Lepisosteus oculatus: one gene and its partner. The protein of the gene in region 1 purifies or fractionates together with the protein of each later gene. This does not show direct contact. Links are inferred from orthologs where the notes say so. Each region holds a gene or a part of one and is shown on either strand. Other genes may lie near its edges. The genes, in order: rcc1 and ranbp1.

Evidence for each region.
Region 2: the proteins of rcc1 (region 1) and ranbp1 purify together in Homo sapiens (affinity purification with mass spectrometry; 3 studies listed by BioGRID and IntAct, counting the BioPlex papers as one, with this or other methods). This does not show direct contact. The link is inferred for Lepisosteus oculatus from reciprocal best matches to the Homo sapiens genes RCC1 and RANBP1.

Annotation. Positions count from the first base shown.
Region 1 is NC_090706.1:6,698,870-6,707,079, forward strand, and holds the start of rcc1 (regulator of chromosome condensation), read left to right. Parts: upstream 1-5,176; 5' UTR 5,177-5,266; exon of another isoform or gene 5,267-5,271; intron 5,272-5,586; exon of another isoform or gene 5,587-5,683; intron 5,684-5,994; exon of another isoform or gene 5,995-6,173; intron 6,174-6,698; 5' UTR 6,699-6,712; coding exon 6,713-6,782; intron 6,783-7,849; coding exon 7,850-8,037; intron 8,038-8,210. UniProt on the Homo sapiens protein: Guanine-nucleotide releasing factor that promotes the exchange of Ran-bound GDP by GTP, and thereby plays an important role in RAN-mediated functions in nuclear import and mitosis.
Region 2 is NC_090717.1:3,014,415-3,022,421, forward strand, and holds the start of ranbp1 (ran-specific GTPase-activating protein), read left to right. Parts: upstream 1-4,967; 5' UTR 4,968-5,116; coding exon 5,117-5,131; intron 5,132-6,895; coding exon 6,896-7,032; intron 7,033-7,444; coding exon 7,445-7,602; intron 7,603-7,961; coding exon 7,962-8,007. Other genes in the region: trmt2a (tRNA (uracil-5-)-methyltransferase homolog A), read right to left, coding at 1-69, 2,052-2,160, 2,825-3,468. UniProt on the Homo sapiens protein: Plays a role in RAN-dependent nucleocytoplasmic transport. Alleviates the TNPO1-dependent inhibition of RAN GTPase activity and mediates the dissociation of RAN from proteins involved in transport into the nucleus.

The DNA of each region.
Region 1 (8,210 bases):
TGGGAATTAATGTGTATGTGTGTATAGAATACTGTAATGTTTCATAGCGTAATAACCTGGAAAGGTGTACAAAGGAAAATATTCCTAATGCACAAAGTTTTTTTTTTTTAATCACTACTGAACTTTTTTATGGAGATTTAAAATATGGGTGCACCTCGTCTCTTAAAGACGGGGGGGCTGTATAAAAATTCTCAGCCACCATAGGAGGAAAAGCTGGTTGTTTCAGAATGTTTTCTTTTTTCTGCCATAAACTTTCAGTCTTAAAGTAGAATGTAGTTTATGCATATCATCTGTCAAGCGGTGAAACGTGTTTGTTAAACTGTGACAGAAGTAAATGCAAAAATCTGTCCAATAAGTGCTTTTAACTGTTTTTTTGGTTCTTTTTATTTTATTTACCCCCCCTTGAAAACAAATGTGCAGACTGAAACTTTTAGCAACTAGAGAACACAGCACCTTAAACCTTTACAGTAAATGTAAAATAAATAATAAAAGACTAACATTCAGGGTCAGATCTCTTAGTTTTTACAGAAAAAAAGAATCCGCCTCTTTGATGGATGACAGGGAAAATCATTTCGGCAGGAACATATTTTTCTTCATTTTTACTTACAATGTTTTAGTGTACTTTTTTGGGGCCAGTAGGAAACAAGTTCCTCACCTCTGCTGTATAGATTTATTCTGTAGATTACGTGAATGCATTGTATATCTTGTCTTCCTATCTTAAAAAGAAAAAAAGATTTTAAATATAATAAAAGTATTATAGGCTGTTTCATTGTTTTTCTTAATGACAGAATGGTTGGTGGTTCAGCAACACTACAAGGACTGGTATATAAAAACACCTGTTTTATTTTACAGATGTATAATTTTTGTAAAGAAATGCTATGGAATTTAGGCAGTTGATATCTGCACCTCTCTAATTAGCAATTAACAGCCACTGCAGAATCAAATTAAAAGCTTATAGAAAAGTGTCTCTTTTGTCTTATATTTCTTATGTATGAGGATATGTTTTGGGGGGGGGATTGATCATGCTGTCGGGCTAAGGTTTTCTACAGACTCTGCTGGATTAAGTCCATGTTGTCTATTTGATATGAATCCATTTTCAACAGTGCCTTTCAGGCAATGCATTCTTCACAAAGTGTTGTGCATTAATAAACTATAAAAGAGACTATTACGTGCAGTCTCTGTTAGAATGCGGAGAATAGAGTAGAATATAGATAGCTTACAATTAGAAACACAGTGACAGAAGATAAATGGTTGCAGAATGTTAATCTTTACACGCCATAGTAAAGGGCTTTTGCAGTACACAAAGCGTGCACAATTAACAAGCAAACAAACCTAGAACCCACCACCAGTTCAGTAACCAAGCATGATCAATGATGGGGAAAAAGCAGTTAAAGAACACAGCAACGTAACCAGCATGTGACCACTAAAGCAATACTTTTACCACTTGCCCTAAACCCCAAGAACAGCTTAGCCTTATACCTTGTATCAACCTTTAGGTAAGTTCTGCTTTCTCTCGTAAAAGTCTCGGTATTCCACTACCCAGTCCCTTGGGATTCGGCTGGTTGGCTTATGAAGCTGCACATACAGGGCCCTTAAGGCAGAATATTATTTTTCTTCCGTAAATGAGTTCTGCTCCTTTGGGTATTTATAACCCAGAATACGAGCCTAAAAGGAGGAAATGACCAAGAGGTAATTAGGAAAAGACATCATAGTACTTATATACCAAGTGTGGCAGCCGTGGTCATCGGGACTTTTGTTGTAAAAATGGCACATTTTTCTACTGTTCATACAAATTTTCTTATTTAAAGATAAGTGTGGTATATGCGGTTTCGCCGTGTGGTCAATGATATGAATGCCTCTTTCCAAGCATCGTTTCTTTACCATTTAAGAACTGATGGCATTTCTTAAAAGAGCAAAGAAAAGTTTTTAGGAAATAGAGCATGCTTTTTTTGGCTCCTCTTGTATGCCTGATGACTCCTATCTTATGGGTCCAAGAACAAATGCATAAATTAACACCTTCAAAAGATTGCCATGTGCTCTGCAAAAATTACAAACTAAATTCCCAGCTTTGAAGACACCGTGGGAGATGAGAAAATGATGTCGCACGAAGCGATAGTGGCAGAAATTGAATTCACTGAATGACTGTACAGTTACAGTGTATTGACAGCCCATAAAACCCGTTAATACAAAGTAAATAGGAAAATGCCAGGTTATTTCAAATAGTGGATTTAATTGACGAAGGGTAATTGATGGGGAAATAACCGTTGAAATACAAGATAAAAGAGCAAGAAATTACTTTCAAAGGACAAAAAGAATTCTCGTTTTCAGCACAGCTTTAAATCATTTTTGTTTCGATTTTAAAAAGTGTGTTGGGAGGGTAACTGCTTGGTCTCATTTGTTGTAGTATAGTCCTCCACTGAACTTCTTTCAATATACCTTTAGTAGATATATTTTTAAAAACGAGCTCATTTTATTGGCTCGACTGTGAAAACCTCAACAGACTCTTGTATATAGAGAGAATATGTTCATGTCTGAACATCTTCAAAACGGAGGGAAGTTTGGAGCTCTTATGAAAATAATCAAAAGCAAAGTGCGGCCACATACTTCGTAATTGTGCATGTTTATCAACACGGGTAAAGAAACAGCTGAAGCGAACGGGATCCGATGTATAATGTTATAGCTGGTGAAAACTGACGCCTCTTGGATGCTTGGTCCTTTGTCTGAATGATTCCATATGGACTAATGAACAGTTAACTGCGTATTCATTCAGCTTCATTTTATAGAAAAGAGCCCGTTAGTCCTTTCATATTCCAAAAAATCTCTCTAAATCATGCAGCTGTAAAACTGATTTTAATGTACAGGCAACCTTTTTAAACAAGGGTATGTTTGTTAAATAATGAGGTCAATTAAACTTTTGGGAAAGGGTATGTGGTTCTATTTTTTTTATTTAAATTGAATTTTAAATGAAATGTCAGTTCAGCCATCTAGTTAAATTGATCAGCTTTCTTAACCACTTTAAAATAGTCAGATTGTCTAATTTGATTGATTGATTAATTTGAAATAAAGATTAGGGGATACTAATATAAATTGTATAAATGTAAAAAAAATGCACATTTTTAAAGTCATCTTTAATGTCCACGTCAAACCAATGCAGCAAAGCAATAGAAAAAAAACCCCAAACATCGTTGAGGCTTAACAGCAGTGGAGTTTAAGAGGACAATCGTACTCAAGATTTAACAGAGACTCGTTTCGAATATTGTGTACAGGCATGGTAGCTGTTACCATAAAAAAGGAACCTTAGAAAGAGATCAAAGTAGAGCAGCAAGAAAAACTCCTGATCTCAGTGAGTTGTCATGTACCCGATAGAAATTCCAACAGTTTCTTAAACGGCCTCACAATCAACTTCACTGCCATGGCTAGGAGCTGGCTTCAGGCTCATACAGTCATCTGTGTAAGAATACAAACATTGCCAACTAGAGGAGACTCTTAGGGCTGTCTAGTTTACAAACCCGTCTGCCGTCTTGTGCTCTGAATTCTCCCAAACCTGATTTCGGTTTTTACATCGTTACTCCTCCTGAAACAATCCCTCGATTTGTTTTTGTCCGTTTCTGAGCTGCAAGGCGATTTTTATTTATTTTTTTGCGGCTAAAAACGTTCAGCGTCTTCAATGGCCCTCCCACATCAACGATTGACGACCAAATGATTCGTGCAGTGTACCTGTCAATTGAGCTAAAATACAAAGATTTGTCTGCTGCGTATAATATGCCCAACACTTGGCTTTGAAAGGCGAGCGACGCGTGGTTTTGTAGCATTTATTGAAACTAGACGGGTTAGATGCATACTGGGGCTGTATGAATTGGCCCTTTCTAAAAAGCGAGAAAGATGAAAAGCTCCGAAAGTGAAAATGATTTATTCCCTTTCTCTCGACAGCTGAGTTTTCAGTTGTTCCGCCAATTCTAATCTTGTAGCTTTGCTACCATCTGGCGGCAAGATATACAGTAGGGGACAAAAAGCTTATCATCCCAATTATATTTAAGTGGGTCTAACATCTTTTTGTTCAGGACAATCACGGGTGGCAATTGTTTTCCACTGTTTTGTGTTTTTCCTCTTTCGTGCTACGAAATATTTAAGTGATTTCTTTAACTTTTTAACTGAACGGATCTGCTAAGATTGGCTAAAAGCTGTTGAAAGGTGTGGGTTGTCAGCAGACAGTTGTCTCGCAGTTCCTGGCCCCCTTACTGTTTCCCAGAAAGGGAATTGGGTGTCTTTGAGTGATCTCTGCATGCGATATTCGGGTTTGGTTTTGTTTACCCAAATTCTGGTGTGAATAGCGCCGTGTCGCATGTGCATTTGAAAGAGTACATCGTGTGAAAGTTAAATGAGATGGCACTCCGACTTAACCTTCACCATATCGTTCTGAAGACATTCTTAGTAACACTGCATAATTTAGGACTTGTGTGAACATTGACCAAGGGGAAAGAATTAAAGATCACTTTGTTTCATTCTTTTTGATTTATTGATTTGACTGTTTCATCCCCAATGGGAGTAGCTGGTGTCAATAAGAAACGAGCTGTTTTTATCCTTTTTTATCCGTTCGCTTCCCCCCCCAAAATTTAGGGAAGTGTGCAATTGTTAAGTTAAAGAAGACAGGCATAACACAACGTGGCATTGTTCCGTCAGAGGAAAAAATATCTCTGTTGTTTTTCTGTTAACTTATCTCAAAACACCAATGTCTTTCTTGTGTAGTGGACACAGAATGATATATAATAATCCAAATCAGGTTAGAATCAGGTCACCACCCTTAGCCTTTTCTGTTCACAACTAAAATGATTTGCTTCTTTTAACCTGTCAGTACATCCCCGTTAACACAGAAATGTACCTAGTTACTCATTCTAAAGGAAAATATTTTGTGGCCATAACTGTATCCAATATTCTATAAAAGGCACTGTACGTCTATATATAATCCCATCTAAAATCCTTAGTATACATTTTATAAACGTTGTTTGTTTTTCTATCTGCGATTGTACCCATTGATTGTCACCAATCAGCAGATATGCTAGGCTTTAGAGTATAAGTATGTATCTACATTTTTACCTGTGTGGAGCACCTGATGAACAAACATTTCCCCCCAAAACGTCAGAGACGGTGTAGGAGCTGTAAGGAGAGGTGTCTGTCCCTTTAAGAGGGCAGGCAGGAGCAGCCGCATGGAGAGGGAGAGTGGAAATTGTGTGGTTTTCAACTTAACAACAGGACACTCTCGGCTGTGGTAAAGTATGGCAATAAACTAGCGCGTTACTGTTATTCTCGCAGTATTTTTTAGTGAATACAGCTGAAAGGTTGTAGATAAACTGTGATATCCGACGGTCAAAGTCGAAATTCGCGACTTAAATAGCGAACAGACAATTCCAGAACATTTTATTGGCTCGGTTTCTTATGACTTCTGTTTTTTTTTTAATTGTCGGTATCCAGCGGGGGGACAAAAAGGCTTTGTGTCTTTTATTTTAAAAGTCTTTTTGGTTAGATATATTATAACTTTATAAAAGGCTTTTTATGTTTGCGCATGGTTTTCTGTGCACGTTACTTTAAAAGTACCTTATCCTGTACGTGTGCTCAAATTGTGCCAATAAAGTTATTCAATATGTATTTGCCCTTCGTGGTAATCCTGCCAGACTTGAAAGTAATGGTAACGTATTACATGTTAAGAGTAGATGAATGTTTCGTAGAGCACTGCGGTGTGTAAAAAAAAAATGATGGGGTTGTGTGGGAGACCTGGTTAAACCTGGATGGCTCCGCGTGGCCTTTTAAAAAAAAAATAGCGGGTCGCGAAAACACCGTGAACCAGGAAATGAATGACTGGGAGCGAGTACCGCCATGCTTTAAAAATGCATTTCCTAAAATAAGGCTCTGAGCCTATGCATCTGCAACGGGAACAGAGCAGTTTTTGTTTTGTGGTCTTCCTGGACTTCGTGCATCAGCCCCTGTCAGTCATTTTTTTTTTAATCAGAAGATCTGTTGCAAACGCGTGGATCGCTGCACCGGCAGCTGTAGTTCATGTGCATTTAAGGAGGTTATCCCCTCGTAGCGATAAGGGATTTATTGCATTTAATGCTCTTTACCTCTATTTTTCGTCCAGTTGCTAGGACTTTCTTTATCGTCGCCACCCCTGAAACATTGTGAGTGACGTTGTTTTTCTGTCGACTTGCTAGTTTGCAAGTCCTAAAAAAGCTTTTTGCATGTTTACCAAAGGCCATGCGCGTAGACAGCAGCAGTTGCTTTAATTGAGCTTCTCGGTGCTGCATGATAACTGAATGATTCTGCGTAATCGCGGTGTAGGCGCGTTTATATACAGCTCCTTTCAGTAAGTTATGATTGTTTTTGACTTAAGGGTTTCCTTTTAATTATCAATAGTATCAAAATGTCTACGCCTGTTGGTCGTTGGATCTCTTTACAATGACGTGGCATGGTGTGTCGGTGTTGGACATCAGTTGTAGCTATATTTACTAAGTGGCGTGCGTTCTATGGTCCAGAGACATAAATACAAATATTCTGCAGTGGTCCTATACTACCTGTGACAAGCGGTAATATCTGCCTCTATATTGCTTAACATATGTAGCCAAAGTCGTGATATCTGTGTGCACTGCATGTTAAGATCTGTATAAGGCCTGTACGTTTGATTTTCTGTTTGTCTCCTCTAACAGTAGAAGAGACCAACATGCCTGGAAAAAAGGCTGCAAAGAGGCCCAGCCCATCAGTGGAAGTCAAGCCCTCCAAGAAAGTAAAAGGTAGGTCATTGAGTGTCCAGTGGTCTCTCTGACCTATAGTAGCCCTCTCATGCTGGGGCTGCTGAAAAGCATTGGGAAGAGTTCTGGCTGTAAAATGGTGTTTATTAATTACTGCTGGTTTCTGTACATCGGGAAAACTACACATCTTCAGAGGAGGCATTCCATTAGGAGTTCTTTTATTGTAAACAAGTTAGCATTTTCAGAGTTCTTTCCTTCTACTTTATGATCCGATTCTTCTGTTGGGTGTTTTTTGCAGTCAGTAAAGTAGTTGTATTTATGTTTGCATCCCAAATATGATGTAAACTTCACATCAAGTAAAATCTGGGGCTAATGTGTGCATGACTGAAGTATAGCGCCCCATATAAGCATACTGGTTTGCTTAAAGCTCCGATTCATGCATGTCCTGTGTTGCCCAATTCTAGATCAGTGAGTGTTAATGTCAGACTAATACCAACAGTATTCACCTATAATTAGGACAAGTTGAACTTGAGGATCTTGACCGAAATGAGAAGCCTGGTGTATTTGAATGACACTATAAGTGTTTTCCTCATTCATATACAATACAGTTATACCTTATTTCTGATTTGTTTGCAAAAAACATACAAAAACTATGTTTAATAAGCATTAGATTAAAATAGATATAACATTACACAAATGACATCAACCTATACATAGTCCTTATGTACCACTCCTACAGGAATCCGCACAGATAACCAGAACCTGTGAGTTTACTCCCTTCCACAATCACTCCAAGCTCCTATAATTTCACATTATCACTTCGTTTTGCACCTAACCCCTCATTGCACGGAATTCCTCAATTGGTTAAGTCTGCATTGAAGGACTCTAAAGCACCTATGTGAGGGCATCAGTCGGTATCCTGTGGGAATTTACATTTTTCTAAGAAGAATTCATAGTCTGCAGCACAAGCCTGACATGCATTTTATTTACCTGCCGCTCTTTAGCAGAACCTTGCGCAAAGTTGCTTTGGCAGATTTCCAGGCGCATTCACTTGACCATGTGCTTGCTCTGACGTGTCGCATAATCCCAGCTGTTCCCTCCTCCCACAGTGTCCCACGGCTCCCATGGGAAGCAGGCGGGGCAGGTGCTGGTGCTGGGGCAGGGGGACGTTGGGCAGCTGGGGCTGGGCGAGGATGTGATGGAGAGGAAAAGGCCGGCGCTGGTCTCCCTGCCGGAGAGTGTAGTGCAGGCCGAAGCTGGAGGGATGCACACGGTGTGTCTCAGCGACACTGGAAATGTGAGTGACTTCCACCCCCCTCACCTTTAATGAGTCTTGAAAACCTTATGACAACTTTGTTTCTTTACCCAGCAGATATTTCTAATAAAATAAAGGATCTTCAGTGTGGTGTAAGGGTAGGCTCCAGTGGAATTTAAGGACACGAAACACTGGGCAAACTATTCTTAGACAAG
Region 2 (8,007 bases), on another chromosome or scaffold:
CCCCACCGTCTTATCCTGCCCGTTCGCTCCCACTCCAATGAGAAACTCACACTTGTTGCGATATTCCGTCTGCCGGAAGGAATTTTTAAAAAAAAACATGACTCCTTTAAAATTCCACTGCGTTAACAAAGCCACCAAGAAGCCCCGCCCATCCACCGACGGAATATGGTGCTTTTTTTCCCCATCCGGAGATCTCCAGTTGATTAAACACATTCCCGCAAAACTCCAACACTGTAAGAGCTCGAAAATGTGGGAGGAACCCGTGCTGAAGAGGTTCCCCTCAGTCTTCTTTGAGTTTGTGTAAGGTTTCTTGTTATTTTTACTGGGAAAACTAACATACTGGATAATGGTTCCCTGTACCATTAAATAATCTTGAAAGTTGCGCTGTTACACTGAAATCCAAGAGCAGCTATCCAGATACATTATAAAAATAAGTTAATTACAATTTCTTTTGCTTTATCTGACTGAAAACAAAACAATCTAACCTGGTAACCTAGAACTATATGTACAGTTTATCATTCATGAGGCATACAATGCCCTTCAAGTTTATTAATATCTCAGGTGAAATATGATTAAAAACATCATATAGCAGAGTGAGTTATGAATTGGGTAATATGCTTCCCTTACAGATAATAATGCTATAACGTTAGGATAATTGCATGGAAACAAAGCAAATAATTCAATGAATTCCAGAAAACAAGAAGGTCAAAACAGTCTAAAAGTATTCCTTTAAATTAAATTCAACACCAATTCAAAACAAATCTACAGTAACATTCTGCTCTTTGGAAACCTTTGGAACTATATTGAGGCCTCTGAACATTTCCCCATTAACCTGGGTTATGAAATAATGAAACACATTGGTTAAGGTCAGAGAGAAAACACTCCAGCCCACCATCTTTAATGTTTTGGGGCTGTCCAGGAGACCTTTTTAAGATAAGAAAAACCGTGAACTGCAATACATACCAGGACATTTTGGCCAGACAATTGTTTCTTTTTGCCAAGAAGCTCATGCTTAACAAAAAATGTACATTCTAGAATGACAATGATCCAAAGCACACATCCAGATTGAAAAGCAAATGGCTAAATGTAGACAAAATGTTCTTGAATGTATTACTATGTATTGTGCTGCTGGAATTCTGGACATTCTAAACCCTAAGAAAGTACAGCAAGTGAAGTTCTAGGGCTTCATCCATATAGTGTGCAGTCTGCTTGTAATCAATCACTGCAAGTGGATTCTGTAGTGACTATACACTCCTACCTAGACCTTCAAACTAAAAACAATTATGTGTCAATCTGGGTGAGGGATCATGAGTACCGGCCTCCAAGATCATGACCTACCTTTGAAGGCCTGGGTTTGGCTGCAATATCTTGCCAGGTTAGAAACTGCTATTTGGTAACACCCAAGATAGTGAGCCACAGTGCACCGAGCTAGTTCAGCTTCTATCAGATCAATGGCATGAAGGCATTATTCTCTTGAAGACAAAGCAAGTTGCTTCCCTGTGTTTTTCTTTCTCTTCCCCCCCCCCCACCAGGACCGACGGGTCAACAGGTTATTTCATCTTTAATCACCTCATCACCTTTGCCGAATCAGCTCTCTGTAATGAGGCGATTCGGTCATGATTGAAATGACGAAAACATTTAATACTGAACATTCAGATCATCTATTTTACCAAAAACATGCACACAAAAGAGTGATAAGTTTCTTTTTACTCTCAGTACAGCAAACCAGTGAAAAGACCATCTGGTCTTTTCGCCAGAAAGAAAGCGTGCATCTGGAGCTTACTTAATCACCCAGCCAAGCTCACAGCTGCCAGGCAGGCTGCCTCTTCCACAGCCAGATGATAACACTGAAGCCAGGTCTGGACCACATAGCTAACATGACAGGCTGACGCAGTAAGAGACATGAATTTGAGGTTGCCAGGCAGCCCAATCTGTACAAAATGATGACCTTATCAGAGTGACTCAACAGTAAGGCTGTGGTTGCCACGAGCAGCAAGAACGTAGGCAATCTGTGAGTGATCAGGAACAATAAACAGCATGCACCACTGTACCTGGACTGGAGATGGTCTAATGGCCTCCAGCGGACAACACATTTTATTGTACTTCTGCTTCTGAACAAATAGCCAAGGCAGCATGGCTTTGTTATTATTGCCGATTTCTCTAAAGAGAATCAAGAAAGAAAAAGATCAGTGGTCATTGATTCAAATAAGAATAGTTTTGTTTGATTGAAAAGGAGTTTTCCATGCTCCCAATAGCAATACATTAGCAGCAACACAAATGATTGTATGAACACTTCCACACATGGCTATCTGCAAACAAATTAAGCTGCTTTCTCAACCATAAAACATGCATCACCGAAAACAGGTTATCTCAGAAGCTCAGATTTCACAGCATTCCACTGCTAGGTAGCTCTCCGGACAATATAAGACACGAGAGACTTAGTTTTTAAATTTTAAGATGCAGACAGGAGTCTCAAAATCACTTTCTGGAGGGCTTACTGCCTTCTGGATTACATACCACTCTCAGTCATGCAGTTGGATTAATTAACGGTGTAATATTAATACTTCCATTAGTATGGAAGGAGAATATTCCAAGCATGGGTGCAGTTATAGAGGTGGGCCTGAATGCTGTGAGCAAGCAAAGGCATAACACCTTAAAAATAAACCTATTTATGCGTAATTAAAAAACAAGATTAAATCAATTAGTCAGCATGGAATAAAAACAAAAAGATATCGAACCGTCCTGTAAATGACTGTAAAGGTCCCTGCTTTTAGTGGCATGCAATCATCCCATTGGATCACAAATAAAGTACTAAGTTACCAACTTTGCCAGTCTTTGCAGGATTCCTTCACTTTCCTGCTCTTTCCTCTTTAGCTGCTCTTCATAAGGGACATTCCAGAGTGGCGTCACCACATCTGCAATCTGCTTACTGAGTGGCTCCTCCTCCTCTGTCCCTTCCTCTCCCCTGTGGCGCTTTGCAGGAACCTGCCCTCCCTCGGGCTCCTCCAGCTGCAGCTGCTGCCTCTTCTTCAGGATGGGGTCTGCCTTGGGCTTGGCCAGCCGCACGCTCAGAACCCGGCCCTTCCACAGCAGCCCATGGACAGCCTTCATGGCCTTGTCCCGCTCCTCCTGGCTCTTGAAGGTGACGAAGGCAAAGTTCTGTCGCCCCAAGAGCTTGATCTTGTGCGGCGTCAGGCCGTGCTTGGCCAGAAACTTCTTCAGGTCGTTGAAGCCAATGAACCTGGGCAGGTGCTGGATCTCCACCTTGTAGATCTCCGAGGTGAAGAGCTCGTCTTTGATGTAGCGGTAGACGCTGGAGGTGCCCTCCTCTTCCTCGCCTTCGGGCTGGGGCTCTTTCGCAGAATCGCTGTCTTCCCCGTGCGCCTCTCTTTCTAAGGATGCGTCTTTGAACTCACCCCGATCCCCTTCCGTCGCTCCCGCCACCACACTTTCTGCTGCATCCGTCATGTCTCCAGACCCTGGAGAGCAAACACAAGAAGAGAAATCATTGCTCAAGGTACATTTCCTTTTGTAAAACCAAACGATTATCCAATACCTCCTTGTGACATAATCTGTTAAACTGAACAAGGCTAATGGCTTGCATCTGTAGAGCACTTTTCACCCCCAATGGATCTCAGAGTGCTTCACCTATAGGAGAGCACCCAGTTCATCCATCACCTCTCGTTGATGTGTGGCAGCGGCTGTGGGCCATCAGCCCCACTGTAGGGCAGATCAGGTGGAGAAGCAAGACACTGCTTCAGCAATCGAGTCAAGGGTGAAATGTTAGGGAGGCCAGATCGTGCACAGACAGAGTGGAATTTAGCCAGGACACTGGGGGTACACCCATGGTCTGAGAACAAAACTTTCCTATGTTCTCTCAGTACACAAAAATACACACATATTACTGTGATGTGTTATTTTTGTGTCATGTACTACATATCACTTGTGATTCTTTAGCTTTCACTGTGTTTGTTTCCATCTTAACATGGAAGTTAATAGGGAATGTCTTACATTACTCTGCCTTTCAGGATTTTAAATACAGAACACAGGAGGACGTGAAAATTTGTCACCTGCTTCAATACTCGCAGTTCACGTGGTTAACCATAACACTAAATACATTTTAGTCCACAAGTTGCAAAATACGTAACTATGTTTCTATATTTTACAGCAAGAAAAATAACTAAGTAATTCCACTTTACTCACTTAAGATTTTTTGTTACATTTCTTTTTTTTTTGGTGCTGTCTGGTTCGCAGTTCTTTGCAAAATTAACTTCATTTATGGCATTGCTTATAGACCATAATTTCATTTTGCTGTCTTCATATACGTATTAAATCTTATTTAACCCCAGCGATTTAGGATAAAACGTGATGAAGCAAGACGGCTTACCTTATCGCTCGCTATTAAAGTAAAAAAGTTTAAACCCTACACTGTCGCATTTACTCAATTCAGCTGCACACGTGAGCAACCATGTTAGCACGGAAAAATAGTGCCGCGTTACAAACGCTAAGCATGGCGGGAGATTAATTTTAAACCTTTATATATTTAATTAGAAAAATAATTTTCATTTTCTATCGAAATGGTTTATTACACAAGTATATAACTAAAGAATACGGAATAAACATGTTTAAACTAGCATTTGTAGTGTAAAGGAAGTGACGTACAAGGTCGGAGGCCCCTGAAAAATAAAAATAATATTAAATGAATTAAAAACAAAAAAACGTTTATTAGATATATATAACCTACAAGAGATGCGGTTCTTGACATTTTCAGTTTTTATTTTAAAATTTTAGGGCCAAATGGCAAGACGTGAAAAATAGAAACAAATGAAAGCTAATTTATAAAACGATTTGCGTGGTGAAATAATAACACTGACTGCGGGCTTTTTAATTTTAGGTTTTTATGTCTAAAATTGAAAGGAGGGGAAAAGGGGGGGGAAAGTCGGGGTGTAATTTAGCGGCGACGGGAGGAGGCTGCTGGGAGTGAGGTAAATGCCGGAGGAGGAACTTTTCAGGGCGCGAAAGGAGCAGCAGGAAGAGAGAGGGATCGACAGACACGGGCGGTTTTTAAATTAAACATCGGCCACCCGTTCCGTAATCCGCAATCATCTTGTACAACATGGCAGATACCAAGGTAAGGATCGGGCGTCAGGGCGTCTTATCGTTTGCTGATTTCGAGAAAACCGGTATTGGAAGATCAAGAGGCCGGTTTTAGGGGATATTATTGCGTTTTATCTCTCTTTTCGGGCTATCATGGGGGAAATTTTTAAAAGCCGACCGGGGTGTGGAGGGTTTGATGTCGTTCTCCTGGCCAGCAGGTTAGAGGTTTTTTTTGGGGGGGGGTGTCAAACAGCTAAGTTTCTGCATCAAAGTGCCCCGTGTCTTAAGTTTTTTTTTTTTTGCTGTTGCTGCATTTGGAAAGCTGTGTTTAAAAAAAGTTTAAAACACGTCCACCTGCGTCGTCCTTCACTGCCAGGTTAAGCTTTTAGCTGAGCCCAGGTTATTCCGCTTGTATCGTCGGGTTAATTTTTATTTTTGAGAGTCCTTTTACGTTTTTGAAATCAGTTCCCGTGTGATGCATTTTGTCTCCTGGGGTTTTTCAGCCTTTCCAGTGCGGCTATCGCGGTGCACGCAGACTGCTGGCGTTCACAACGTGACCCTCACATTGTCTGCAAGTTGCAGTGTCCCAGCGCATCATCGCACTCACAAATGGCGTGTTTCGGCATTTTTTTTTACTTAATGTTTATTTTGTCATTTGAGTCTTTCCATAAAACGTATGAGCCGATAACAGCAGGTAGAAAAAATGCCCCGGTGCAATTCTAGAAGTTATAAGGGCTGAATAACTGCTGCGTTTTATTTTCGTAACGGCATCAGATCTAGATATCCTATTGATTAAAAATTGACCTGAGTTTTTCAAGGGGGTTTTCATTTCGCCATGTTTCACTGAAGAACAATGATTGCATTTCTTATTATCTAGACGTTTAAGCTAAATCGTGTGCAACAGACCGCCCAGCACAATGCCGATGTTAAAAGCCGGCACAGTTGTGGTCGAAAGGGATTCTGCTGGATGTCAAAGAAAAGGCCTTGTATTTACATTTATGGTTTTAAAACAATCCATGCAATGGGTTTCTTCGTAAGGGAAAGGCTTGACTTTTAGAGTGCACGTCTGCATGTTCTAATTCAGATCTACCGACGGCTCATCCAGTTGTACATTTTTTTTGGACTTTAATTCCCTATGATGATGTGCTTTGAATATAGCTGATAAGTCAGTTCAGCCAAGGAAACGCAAGATGGGGGGTGGGGGGGTGGGAGTGTGAAGACCATTTGGACACACCACAACCTTTTTGAGTTAAAAAAAAAGAATCTGTCTGGATTGTATTGTCTATATTGTTGCATGTGCATGCAAGTGCAGCCGATTGAGGCCTATAGGCAAAGAATCTTCTCATGCAAAATTTGAACCTCCTTACTCAGCATTAGTGGCATTATGTCCAGTTGCCACAGCAGTTTCACTCCAAAGAGAACCTCGCTCCAAAGCAGGATCTTCTAAATCCCCCCTATTCACTTCATAGTGCTGGTGCGTAGTTGCACACTGTGCTAGTTCACATGCTAGATCTGTAATGAACGTCCCCCCGCTCTCTAATGTACACCACCCCTGATGAATCCTCGACATTTTCCCAGATTTTTAACTTATTTCCCCTCGTTTCCTGTGCTTTTACATTCTTGTGTCATGGTGGGGTGTGTTTCTCCTCTTAACTGTGCAATGAAGCTTGTGATGAGAATTAAACGTCTCGTTTTGAGTTTTAAGCTTTGGTTACAATACATCCACACCGAGAAATGAACTCAAGAGGACTTGCCTTTCTGGTTTCTGTGTGTCAACGAGTCTTCTTGTCTTTCTCAGGATACACAGGAAGACCATGAGACCACTGCAGAGAATGCAGATGAGTCTACCCACGACCCTCATTTTGAGCCCATCGTGTCGCTGCCTGAGCAGGAGGTGAAAACATTGGAGGAGGATGAGGAGGAACTCTTTAAGATGTAAGAAAGCACCTGTTTAGGCCGAAGCCATCCTGCGGGCCTCTTCATTGACGTGTGTCTCAAAGATATGTTTCTCTGAGTGCTTGAAAGTGTCGCCCTTTGCAATTTTAAGGAGGCTGCAAAGGATTTGGACAATCCTTTGAAAGTCTAACATTTAAAGACGAGCAAATTTTCATTGCCTGCCTCCATCAACCGTCCAAATTGTTCAAGATTTTGCCGCGGTGCTTAGTTTATAGTTCGGCAGGTTTGTAAAGAAAATGCAAAGAATGGTTTTAACACCACAGAGACATTGCGTGGTTATTACGATGGAATCTACTTGCAGGCCGCAGAATGTCCACTCGGTCTGTGGTGTAGTTTTTATCGCCCTGAGGTTGAGCAGGCTGCTCTCACAGCGCGTGTTTCCCGTCTTTAGGCGAGCAAAGCTGTACCGGTTCGCTTCGGAGAACGACCCCCCGGAGTGGAAGGAGAGGGGCACCGGGGATGTTAAGCTCCTGAGGCACAAAGAGAAAGGAACCATCCGTCTGCTGATGAGGAGAGACAGGACTCTCAAAATCTGTGCAAACCACAACAGTAGGTGTTTTGCCTTTTCTTGTGCTGTGGCTCTTTGTGTCCGTTGAAGACGTGCTTAAAAGATAGATACTTTATTAAAATAGAATATCTGCTTTATTTAAAGTACTTTATTTCCCCTACTGCGGAAATTTCTTGGGCTTCTCCCACACAATACAAAACTTACAAGCGAAACATCACATGAAATCACAAGAACGGTATGTGATGGATGAATAAACGGGTAATGGGGGAACTACATTTACGTCATTGTTATATTTTAGATTTAGGCCTCAATCTAGTAGTAAAACTGCCATTGTTTGTAGCATTGCCTGAAAGCTGGCGAGTTGTGAATTGCATGTTAACAAGTGTTGGTCTTCTTTCAGTCGCTCCTTTGATGGAACTCAGGCCAAACGCCGGAAGTGACCGGGC